Linked DNA regions of Macaca fascicularis. The protein of the gene in region 1 purifies or fractionates together with the protein of each later gene. This does not show direct contact. Links are inferred from orthologs where the notes say so. Each region holds a gene or a part of one and is shown in the gene's direction. Other genes may lie near its edges.

The links.
Region 2: the proteins of IFT22 (region 1) and IFT57 purify together in Homo sapiens (affinity purification with mass spectrometry; 3 studies listed by BioGRID and IntAct, counting the BioPlex papers as one, with this or other methods). This does not show direct contact. The link is inferred for Macaca fascicularis from reciprocal best matches to the Homo sapiens genes IFT22 and IFT57.
Region 3: the proteins of IFT22 (region 1) and IFT25 purify together in Homo sapiens (affinity purification with mass spectrometry; 3 studies listed by BioGRID and IntAct, with this or other methods). This does not show direct contact. The link is inferred for Macaca fascicularis from reciprocal best matches to the Homo sapiens genes IFT22 and IFT25.

Annotation. Positions count from the first base shown.
Region 1 is NC_088377.1:49,966,301-49,968,679, reverse strand, and holds part of IFT22 (intraflagellar transport protein 22 homolog), read left to right. Parts: intron 1-220; coding exon 221-310; intron 311-2,222; coding exon 2,223-2,379. UniProt on the Homo sapiens protein: Small GTPase-like component of the intraflagellar transport (IFT) complex B.
Region 2 is NC_088376.1:174,868,473-174,872,732, forward strand, and holds the start of IFT57 (intraflagellar transport protein 57 homolog), read left to right. Parts: upstream 1-1,354; 5' UTR 1,355-1,456; coding exon 1,457-1,668; intron 1,669-4,226; coding exon 4,227-4,260. UniProt on the Homo sapiens protein: Required for the formation of cilia. Plays an indirect role in sonic hedgehog signaling, cilia being required for all activity of the hedgehog pathway.
Region 3 is NC_088375.1:180,729,880-180,734,279, forward strand, and holds the start of IFT25 (intraflagellar transport protein 25 homolog), read left to right. Parts: upstream 1-1,494; 5' UTR 1,495-1,708; intron 1,709-1,834; exon of another isoform or gene 1,835-2,023; intron 2,024-2,132; exon of another isoform or gene 2,133-2,519; intron 2,520-4,400. UniProt on the Homo sapiens protein: Component of the IFT complex B required for sonic hedgehog/SHH signaling.

The DNA of each region.
Region 1 (2,379 bases):
ATTCTCCTGCCTCAGCCTCCCCAATAGCTGGGATTACAGGTGCCCACCATCATGCCCGGCTAATTCTTTTATTTTTAGCATAGCGAGGGTTTCACCATGTTGTCCAGGCTGGTCTCGAACTCCTAACCTCAAGTGATCTGCCTGCCTCAGCCTCTCAGAGTGCTGAGATTACAGGCATGAGCCACCGCACCCAGCCTACTGCTCTTCTTTTTCCTTTTAGGATCCTGGAATTTGAGAACCCGCACGTTACCAGCAACAACAAAGGCACAGGCTGTGAATTCGAGCTATGGGACTGTGGTGGCGATGCTAAGTATGTTTCCTTTAAAGAAAGTCACTTCATCAAATGGTTTAAAAATCAGCTGCCCAGGCCAGGGGTGGTGGCTCACACCTGTAGTTCCAGCACTTTGGGAGGCCAAGGGGGGTGGACCATCTGAGGAGAAGAGTTCAAGAGCAGCCTGGCCAACATGGTGAAACTGCATCTCTACTAAAAATACGAAAAATTAGCCCGGTGTGGTGGCGGCCACATGTAATCCCAGCTACTTGGGAGGCTGAGGCAGGAGAACTCCTTGAACCCGGAGGCGGAGGTTGCAGTGAGCGGAGATCGCACCATTGTACTCCAGCCTGGGTGACAGAGCTGGACTCCGTCTCAAAAAACAAAACCAAACAAAAAAAATCAGCTGCCCATCAGGCACCATGAAGTTGGGCCTAGCATGTTTCCTGGCACATATGAGGAGCTTGATAAATTATTTGCTGACATGCATTGCTTTATACACTTCAGTGATTAGGTTATGATGCAGTTAGAAGTCATCAACCTTGGCCAGGCACAGTGACTGACGCCTGTAATCCCAGTACTTTGGGAGGCCGAGGCAGGCAGATCACCTAAGGTCAGGAGTTCAAGACCAGCCTGCCCAACATGATGAAACCTCATCTTTTAAAAAAAAAAATAGGGGCCAGGCACCATGGCTTACGCCTGTAATCCACTGCTTTGGGAGGCCGAGGCAGGCAGATCACCAGAGCTCAGGAGTTTGAGACCAGCCCGGCCAACATAGCAAAACCCCGTCTCTACTAAAAATACAAAACTTAGCCCAGTATGGTGGTGTGCACCAATAATCCCAGCCACATCAGGAGACTGAGGCAGGAGAATCACTTGAACCTGGGAGGTAGACGTTGCTACTGCACTCCAGCTTGGGCAACAGAGCCAGACTCTTACCTCAAAAAATAATAACAATTTTTTTTAAATGAAGAAATCATCAACCTTTAAAAAAACTAAAATTGGCCTGATGTGGTGCACACCTGTAGTCCTAGCTACTCAGGAGGCTGAGGCGGAAGGATCGCTCGGGCCCACGTTGGAGGCTGCAGTGAGCTATGATCTCACAACTGCACAATTTTAAAAGACTGCCCAGCCATCACCCACCTCCTACTTTTGTTGCTGTTGGCAACAAAAAGTAGAGCAAGACCCTGTCTCTTAAAAAAAAAAAAAAAAAAGTCATCAACCAACTGTTTCTTTTTTGTTGTTGTTGTTGTTGTTTTGGGATGGAGTCTCGCTGTGTCACCCAGGCTGGAGTGCAGTAGTGCAAACTCAGCTTGCTGCAAGCTCCGCCTCCCGGGTTCATGCCATTCTCCTGCCTCAGGCTCCCGAGTAGCTGGGACTACAAGAGCCCACCACCATGCTCGGCTAACTTTTTTGTATTTTTAGTAGGGATGGAGTTTCACCGTGTTAGCCAGGATGGTCTCGATCTCCTGACATCGTGACCCACCCGCCTCAGCCTCCCAAAGTGCTGGGCTTACAGGAGTGAGCCACCACGCCCAGGCTGTTATAGACCAACTTTTAATACTAAGATATTCTTTTTTTTTTTTTTTTTTTTTTTTTTTTTTTTTTGAGACGGAGTCTCGCTCTGCCCAGGCTGGAGTGCAGTGGCGCGATCTCGGCTCACTGCAAGCTCCGCCTCCCGGGTTCACGCCATTCTCCTGCCTCAGCCTCCCGAGTAGCTGGGACTACAGGCGCCCACAACCGCGCCCGGCTAATTTTTTGTATTTTTAGTAGAGACGGGGTTTCACCGTGGTCTCGATCTCCTGAACTTGTGATCCGCCCGCCTCGGCCTCCCAAAGTGCTGGGATTACAGGCGTGAGCCACCGCGCCCGGCCAAGATATTCTTTTTAAAGTCCACAGTTAGAAACCAGAATGACCTGACTTTCCCTCTTGTTCCTTTTCTTCCTCCCAGGTTTGAGTCCTGCTGGCCAGCCCTGATGAAGGATGCTCATGGAGTGGTGATCGTCTTCAATGCTGACATCCCAAGCCACCGGAAGGAAATGGAGATGTGGTATTCCTGCTTTGTCCAACAGCAGTCCTTACAGGACACACAGTGTATGCTAATTGCA
Region 2 (4,260 bases), on another chromosome or scaffold:
TTCAGGTTATTCTCTACACAAGTCTGTAATTTTAAGTACTTCCTTTCTTTAATGAATACTTTAATGAATGTAATTTTAAATACTTCCTTTCTTTAATGAATAGGGCAAATGGTATTTGCCCTACTGACTTTTCACTTTGATAACCTTATTAGTATCAGAAACAAGTTAGCTGTAGACGGATTAAAATGAAAAGTGTGTTCTCATTTTTCTAACAAAAACAGGATATTGTAGATACATTTCAAATTTCAGTTATCCAAAAATGTGGCCCTTCTATACTTTGTAGTGGCAGACACAAGAAAGAGATCAGTGAGCCCTTGAAAGTCACGTTATAAACACGAACATATATGTTCAATCTCTTGTATTAAGTTTTCTTCCAAAAAACTGCCAGGCATCCACCACTTACCTCATTTTTTGCAACTGTTAAGAAAATTGCCCGATACACAATCCTTTTGAAAACTGTAAAGCTGGGCCATTTCTGTGGTCAGTTATGTACCTTTTCTTGAATTTTCTAGGTCAATAACTGCAGAATACAGTAGTAACACCCTATCTTTAGCCACACTTAGAGCTTTAGGGCAGGGAAATTCCTTTTAAGACCATCTCTATTCTGCTGGATTTAACGAAGTACCCAAAAACTTTATACTACATGTTATGGGTTTGAAACAGATTAAGCAGCAGGCTGGAAGCTTAGTATTCTTGTTTTTGAAGTAAAACAAAGCCTCCCAAATGCCTCCTTTTGTTCGTTGTCTTCTTCCTCATCCTTCCAACCACTTTCCTAGCACTGGAGTAATAGCCAGGCAATGCAATACAGTACTTCAAGCTCTACAGTATACTGTTATGTGCAGCATTGCCTAGTGAGAGAAAGATAAAATTAAAAAAAGAAAGAACGAGAGAAACCTCTTGTTGGAAAGTTCCTGCAGTAAAAGTGAAACCTATGGTATTGACTATCTTTACAACTATGAACAGCTTCTCAATTCTGAGAAAATAAAGGTATCAGTGGGCCAGTGCAGCCTTCAATACTGCACGTCTTCACCTCCCTTTAATCTTTTTAACAGCTACTAGCTGACCCAGATGCCCGCTTAGTTGCCTTTAGCAACCACCAGGTCCAACACACCTCAAGCCAGCTCAGAGTCACTAGCCGCCTCTCCTCAGTCTTCCAGAAGCCGAGGGAGGAGAGGCAGCGGGGGGTGGGGCGCGAACACCACGCCTCCATGAGGGGCGGTGCTGCTTCCCGACCACCATTTCCGCGGAGGCAGGGCAAGAGGCGGGCCACGGGCGACGTCATTCAGGAAAGCCGCCCTGATTGGAGGGAAGGAGGCGGAGTCTAGTTTCCCTGGTGACGGGTTGTCCGGTGGTCGCCTGGTAACCGGTCGTGGCTGTACTGGCTGCTGCAGGGCTGGCGGCTTAGGCCGCAGAGGTCTGTGGGCCTGAGCCCACGCTGCACTCTGTCCGTCCTGCGATGACTGCTGCCCTGGCCGTCGTCACGACGTCGGGTTTGGAAGATGGGGTGCCTAGGTCCCGTGGCGAAGGGACCGGGGAAGTGGTCGTGGAGCGGGGGCCCGGCGCGGCCTACCACATGTTCGTGGTGATGGAGGACTTGGTGGAGAAGCTGAAGCTGCTCCGCTACGAGGAGGAGTTCCTCCGGAAGAGCAACCTGAAGGCCCCGTCCAGGTGGGTGCCGGTGTCCCCAAGCGCCTGGGTGCCTGCTAGCCTCCAGGGAGATGCCCTCCTTGGTCCTGCTGGGAACCAATTCCGTGAGAGCGGGTTAGCAATTCATTGCCTCCGTCTGCCTAGCCAGAGAAGGGCACTTCACTCCAAACTCCGGGGAGGTCCGTGGAGCTCACGCAGCCCTGACTTGCTGTTTTTGTAGAGAGAATAAATAAGTTTTGGAACGGCAGAAAGGATTGGAAGACAGCTTGCCTGTTTTTTTGTTGTTGTTGTTGTTGTTTAACACACACGCATTACCACAAAACACAAACTGTATTTTATGATTGTAAAGATAAAACAAATACTCATTGTAGAAAACTCAGAAAAACACAAGAAAATGTCTAGAAAAATTATAAAACCGCCCAAAATCTCGTCTCCAGAGAGGAATGCCATTATCACTTAAGGCTTTTTTTCTAGTTTGGGGTTTTTTTGTTGTTGTTGTTTAAGACCCTGTTTATACAACTGGGGACCGTGGGTACTTACGACCCTGTTAAGGAGCGCTTTAAATGCGGCTAGTAAACTTGTTAACTACTTGCTATGGTTTAAAAGACTTCTGCCTTTGCAATAACCATACTCTCAGAAACTGAAAAGTGGAAAAGACGAATGACAACTATTGAATTGTCTCCTATCATAGAACCTAAAGTTCTACCCTTGTTCCGGTGGGGGAGAAGTCCAACATATCCTGAACGCAGTGCCATTACTTGCTGAGGGTAGTGGTCGGCTAGGACCTTCTCCTCAAATCACTGTAGCTTAGCAGTAGCCAGGTAAATCAGTTTTATAGCTTTTCTTTCACTTTAATACTTACGTTTATTTTATTCCATAAAAGGCAATCAATAGTAAGAATCTATAGTACTTAATGTCTACAGCCAGGCTCAAATAATTTCCCTTGATAGTTTTAATCTCATTCCACTGCTCTCTTCCAATAAATTGAATTGAAAGATATGTAGGCTTTATGTAAACTGTTCATATTAAATTAGTCCATAGTCGGAGAAAAGATAAAGGAAAAAAGTAGTGTTGCTTGATCCATGTTAGAAAAGGTAGTCCTGGGATTATTAAAGTGAATCGATCAGGATATATAGACAACCAACATTTCCTGTATTAATAAAAATGCATTTTTTTCCAAGTGTATTTTTCAAATGAAAAGAAAATGACCTTAAGGTTCTGTTGATGTCATCTCTGTGTCTTCAGGGGTTCAGCAGGACACTTTGAATCATGGATTTGTGTGGGAATATCCTAGTCTAATGGTTCTCAAAGTGTGATCACCAGACCAACAGCATCAGCATCACCTGGGCACTTACTAGAACTGAAATGCCTCAGGCCCTTTCCCAGGTCTATCTACCTTTTCAGTAATTATAAGGATGGGGACTAGTGGTCTGTTTCAGTAAGTCTTCCAGATGATTCTGATGGACACTAATATTTGAGAACCACTGTCCTAGGTTTACAGTATCTATTGGTGTTCATTCCTGTGCTCTAGAGGAGTTATCTGCCAATAACGAAAAGATGACTTTTTGGTGGGTGGATGCTTTGAAAGGATAGTTAGCATATACCTGGAAGGACTTCATGGCCTTTTTTCTTCCCAGCTTTCTGTTATCTTCCAGAACGTTTACACTTATCCTGCAGGATAAAGTTTGGGAAACATGAAGGAGTACACGACTGATTTTTATGACAATGATTATAATTGTTGTAAATACATTGCAAACATAATAATGATAGCTACACATGAACAAGAAAAATAAGATCTTTGATTAAACTGACTTGAATGTTGTTGCTAGTGAGTTTTATTCCTATAATGTTTAGGTATAAATCATACTGATCCTCATAGAACTGTGTTTAGCAGACCAGGGGATTAAGCAAGAGCCCACAGATGATTTTTAGATTGGTGATGTGACATTCACAGTTTCTTAATCCTGACTACACCTTATAAACATGTAGAAAGCTTTTGAAATATACCCCATACTGGGCCTACACTCACTGAAGTTCTGATTTAATTCATTCATGAGGGAAGAAGCAATGTTTGGCCAAGTACCAGTATTTTTATTAGCTCCTCAGGTGATTGAATATGCAGCCAAGATAAAAACAAATGTTTACCATAGGTGATAGGTTAGAAAGAGTAAAAATGCATAATGAGTAATCTTTTGAGATCTCTTTTAAACTCTGAGGTTCTTCCAGATTACCATTTTCGTTAATAAGGTACTAACATATTATTACTGACACTTAAATCATTTTGACAAAAACTCTACATGCTCTGTGCTCTAACAGGCACTACATTTCCCGGGTGTAAGGTCTTTGATCTCATATTTTGAGTACAGTAGTAATTGCGCTAATCCTGATGATTTAAAAATTTAATGTGAGTGCTGTGGATTACTGGAAACTTGAAAGGGTGAATTATCGAGGCCTTTTGATTTGATGGCCATTGGGGGGAAGAAAGATTGTTGGACAGTTGTGAATTCGGCCCTATTAGTTATTATAGACTTATTTGCATTATTTCACATACACCCCCATTCCTCCTTGTTTCGAAACAGACACTATTTTGCACTGCCTACCAACCCTGGTGAA
Region 3 (4,400 bases), on another chromosome or scaffold:
GATAAGATTGAAAAAAAAAAAAAACGAAAACCGGTGCACATCTAGGGAAAGAGCTGGTGGGAACAGAGCCAAGACAGTTACAACGAGGCCTCCCTTCTTCCCTCTGCCAGGCCCAAAATGAGCTACATCTATATACCAGGAGAACATCTGCCAGCCCATGGCCTTCATCCCAAGGCTGCCCACACTTAGTTTATCTGAAAATGCAGTATTCTTGGGAAAATTTCTAAATAAAAACCTGAACAGAAACTAAACTGTGGGTAGTTCTAAACCAGCAATAACCAACAATCCACCTTCATTGTTCTGTGTGTCCCCATTCTTCAATTTTCAACTTTCCTCACTACTTTTTTCCTATAATATGCACTTTACTGCCTTCTCATCCATACCTTTTCCTCTCTCAGGCTCCCTACTGCCCCCCAAGAACATGCCAATCTCTCCCACAATGTGACTCTTAACAACTCTAGCGCTTCTCACACCAAAAATCCTAACCCCACTCCCTTCGCTCACCTCAGCTCCCCTGCCCGCCTCAAGCCTCAGACCCTTCCAGCCCTTCCGTGCTCCTGCTGAAAGGTGGCTTGCTTGTTCCACAGACCCAACCCTTCCAACCTCCAATCTCCCAACCTCCACCTGCCTCCCTTTCTTTCCCCAACTCCTCCACCCCCACTCCTTCCCTCCACCATCTATTCTTCCCGTCTTCCCACTCTAGGGGCTTCCCTCTCCTAGGCCCCCAATCTCTCCAACCCTTTCCTTGCCTTCTGTTCTCAATCTTCAAGACCTTCTTCCTTCACGCCTATCCCTAACTTGGCATTCCACACCCCCAACTTTTCTTCCCTGTCCCCAAGACCCCACCCTCTCTATTCCTATCCTAGCTCTTTTCCTCCTTGAACCCCTAAAATCCCATTTCCTTTCCCCATTCCTTCTTCCCGCTCTCTCCCCACGCATGCCTTCGTTCCGCTCTCTCCCCACGCGTGCCTCTCCCCGAGTCCACCCAGGCTAATCCTGCTCCCTATCCCACCCCGGCCCCGAACCCCAATTCTCACACGTCCCCATAGCCTGCCCCCGCACCCCTACGCCACCCTTAAATCCATCGTCCACACCCATATACCTCATCCTCCCCTCAACCCGCGCCCCGCCGTCCCTCTCGGGCTTCCCCTCCCCCACCCCGCCGCTCCCTAACACCCCGCCCCCGCTCCCACACGCAACCCGGGGCCCCGCGAGCGGCCCGGCCCGCGGCCGCCACCTACCTGTGCCCCTGCCCGGGGCAGCGAGCGGCAGCTCCTCTGTGGCGGCTCCCTCCTCCCGCGGCGCGGCTGACGGGGAACGGCTCAGCACCCCGGGCACAAAGCTAGGGAGGGTGGGACACAGCGAGGGTGGGAGGAGGGAGAGGGCTGGGGGCAACCAGGCGCTGTGGGACCGCGGGACCGGCGGGGACGGGGGCAAGGCTGGGCCGGGGAGGCGCGCGTGCGCGGGCCCCGGCACGAAGGCGGGGCCGGGTCTAGAGGCGGGGCCGGGCCCCAGGCAGGCGACCCGAGGGCCGAGGGTTTGGAACTAGCAGAGGTGGGCCCTGCGCGTGCGTGCTCGCGGGAGGGCGGATCCCCTGGGTCCTGCGGGCCCCAGGGATACAGCTGAGCTGGGGGAGGGTAGGCAGCGCAAGTCCTGGGACTGCCCTGGGAAAGGCGCTCGGGAGTGGTTGCGCATCTTGGCCCGCGAAGTAATGGGAGCTGGAGAAGGCGGGGTCAAGGGCGGGCGGGGCCTGTGGGAGGCGTGGCGCGAAGAGCTAGGGGTAGGAGGGGCCGAGGCCGCGGCGAGGGGGCGGGGCTGAGGCGGGGTGGGGCCTGTGGGAGGCGTGGCGCGAAGAGCTCGGGGTAGGAGCGAGCGCGCCCGGGAACTCTGCGGAGGCCGCGGCGGCGCGGGGGGCGCGGCTGAGGGCAGGGCGGGCCTGTCGGAGTCGTGGCGCGAAGAGCTCGGGGTAGGAGCGCGCGCCCGGGAACTCCGCTGTGGTCGCGGCGAGGGGGCGGGGCTGAGGGTGAGACGGGGCTTGTGGGAGGCGTGGCGCGAAGATTTCGGAGTTGGAGCGCGCGCAGTCCCGAACTCCGCTGAGGCTGCGGCGAGGAGGCGGGGCTGTGGGTTGGGGCGCTCTGCGTGGGGCGGGGCGAAAGGGAGGTTTCGAGCCAGGAAGGTACGGCGCCCAGAACTAAGGGGAGTCCCAGGCGAGCGGGCCGCGGGGTGGGCAGGCTGGTACCAGGGGGTGTGGGGGCCTGGCCGGGCAAGGCAGAAGGAAGGGGATGCTGGTGGGAAGGGAGCAACAGTGGAGGGTGGTGAAAAGACGAGCAACGGGAGGCGTGGAAGGGCCGTCGCGGGAGGTCTGACGCGGACCCGCCTTCTCCTCTAGACCCTGGAGGCGCCAGTGCCAGGCCTCGAAGCTCTTTGAGGCCAGAAATAGCGTCTTGACCACCAAAAGGGAAAACCAATTGTAAATCGAAATTAATTAGCCTACCAAAATGTAAGCTGTCAGCCGCAACGTAAGCCATCTAGCTATGAATTGTACTTAAGGTCGGGGGCATTTATTATATTCTTTACATACTTTGGGGCGAGGCCTCCACAAGTCTGAGGCTCTAGGGCCCTCGGAAGTCTGTCTCCACAGGGCCTGGGACTGAGGAGGAGGGTTTGGGATGGAGGTGAGAAGGTGGTGCCAGGGCTGGTTTGTCTTGGAAGCGGTGGCCTTGTCCCCGCGGAGACAAGCCGTAGGCCAGGTCCGCGTTTTCTAAAGTACACCACGTTCCCAATGGATGGTACTTGAAAGAGCATGAGGAGTCCAGCTGTAGCACCAGAACCAAGGGGGCTGGTCAGGTTGAAGGTCCTCTAAGGACTTGACCTGAAGAGGTTTGGAGAAAGAAGGACCACAAAGGGCATGTGAGCTAGCGATGAAGGGGTGAACTGGGGACGAAACCAGTGGCCCTAATTTGAAAGACAGGATAAAGCATCAGGGAATTCCAGGGTCAGGGATTGTAAAAAATGGAAAGGATAGCACCCCAGAGTGTACCACCTTTGGTAAACTGCGGCCCTGAGGAAATTACCTTGTTCTGAAGGGGTGGGGGATTAGACTACCTCCCAAACCTGCACTTTTGTTTTGTTTTTTGGAGACATCATCGCTCTGTAGCCCATGCTGGAGTGCAGTGGCGCGATCTCACCTCACTGAGCCTCCGCCTCTTGGGTTCAGGCGAGTCTCCTGCCTCAACCTCTGGATTAGCTGGGATTACCGGCGCCCGCCACCACACCCGGCTAATTTTTATATTTTTAGTAGGGACGAGGTTTCACCATGTTGGTCAGGCTCGTCTTGAACTGCTGGCCTCAAGTGATCCGCCTGCCTGGGCCTCCCAAATGCTGGGATTACAGGCGCCTGCCAACAGGTCCGGCTAATTTTTGTAGTTTTAGTAGAGGGGATTTCGAGGTTTCACCATGTTGCCCAGGCTGGTCTTGAACTTGTGAGCTCAAGCTGTCCGCCCATCTCGGCCTCTCAAAGTGTCAGGATTACAGGCGTGAGTCACTGGCGTCATTGTATGTATTTCTCTAAGGTTGGTTGTCTCTTGTCATTAACTGCAACAAAAGATAAAGAAAACCCAGTCTCTGCCATTTCTACTTAAGTAATTCTACCCAAAACAGGAAATAGGGAGGATAATGTTGAATATAGAAGGTGTGAAATGAGTTTTGCATTAAAGCATGTGTTTGCTTCTCAGAAAACTTAAGAATGTGAGGTAAGAAAAGAACTGAACACTTGGGAAGTACATTCTTTCCTATTCATCTCCATATCAACCCTGAAGTGTAACTCTTTTTTATTTTTATTTTTTTTATTTTTATTTTTTTTTTTGAGACGGAGTCTGGCTCTGCCGCCCAGGCTGGAGTGCAGTGGCCGGATCTCAGCTCACTGCAAGCTCCGCCTCCCGGGTTCACACCATTCTCCTGCCTCAGCCTCCCGAGTAGTTGGGACTACAGGCGCCCGCCACCTCGCCCGGCTAGTTTTTTGTATTTTTTAGTAGAGACGGGGTTTCACCGTGTTAGCCAGGATGGTCTCGATCTCCTGACCTCGTGATCCGCCCGTCTCGGCCTCCCAAAGTGCTGGGATTACAGGCTTGAGCCACCGCGCCCGGCCATCTCTTTTTTAAAAAACAAGTTCTTGACCGGACACAGTGACTCGCTCCTGAAATCCCAGCACTTTGGGTGGCCAAGGTGGGCGGATCGCTTGAGCTCATGAGTTAGAGACCAGCCTGGGCAACATGGCAAAACCCTGTCCCAACAAAACAAAAAAATGAGCCAGGCTTGGTGGTGCGTGCCTGTAGTCCCAGCTACTAGGAAGGCTGAGGTGGGAGGATCGCTTGAGCCTGGGAGGCAGAGGTTGCATTGAG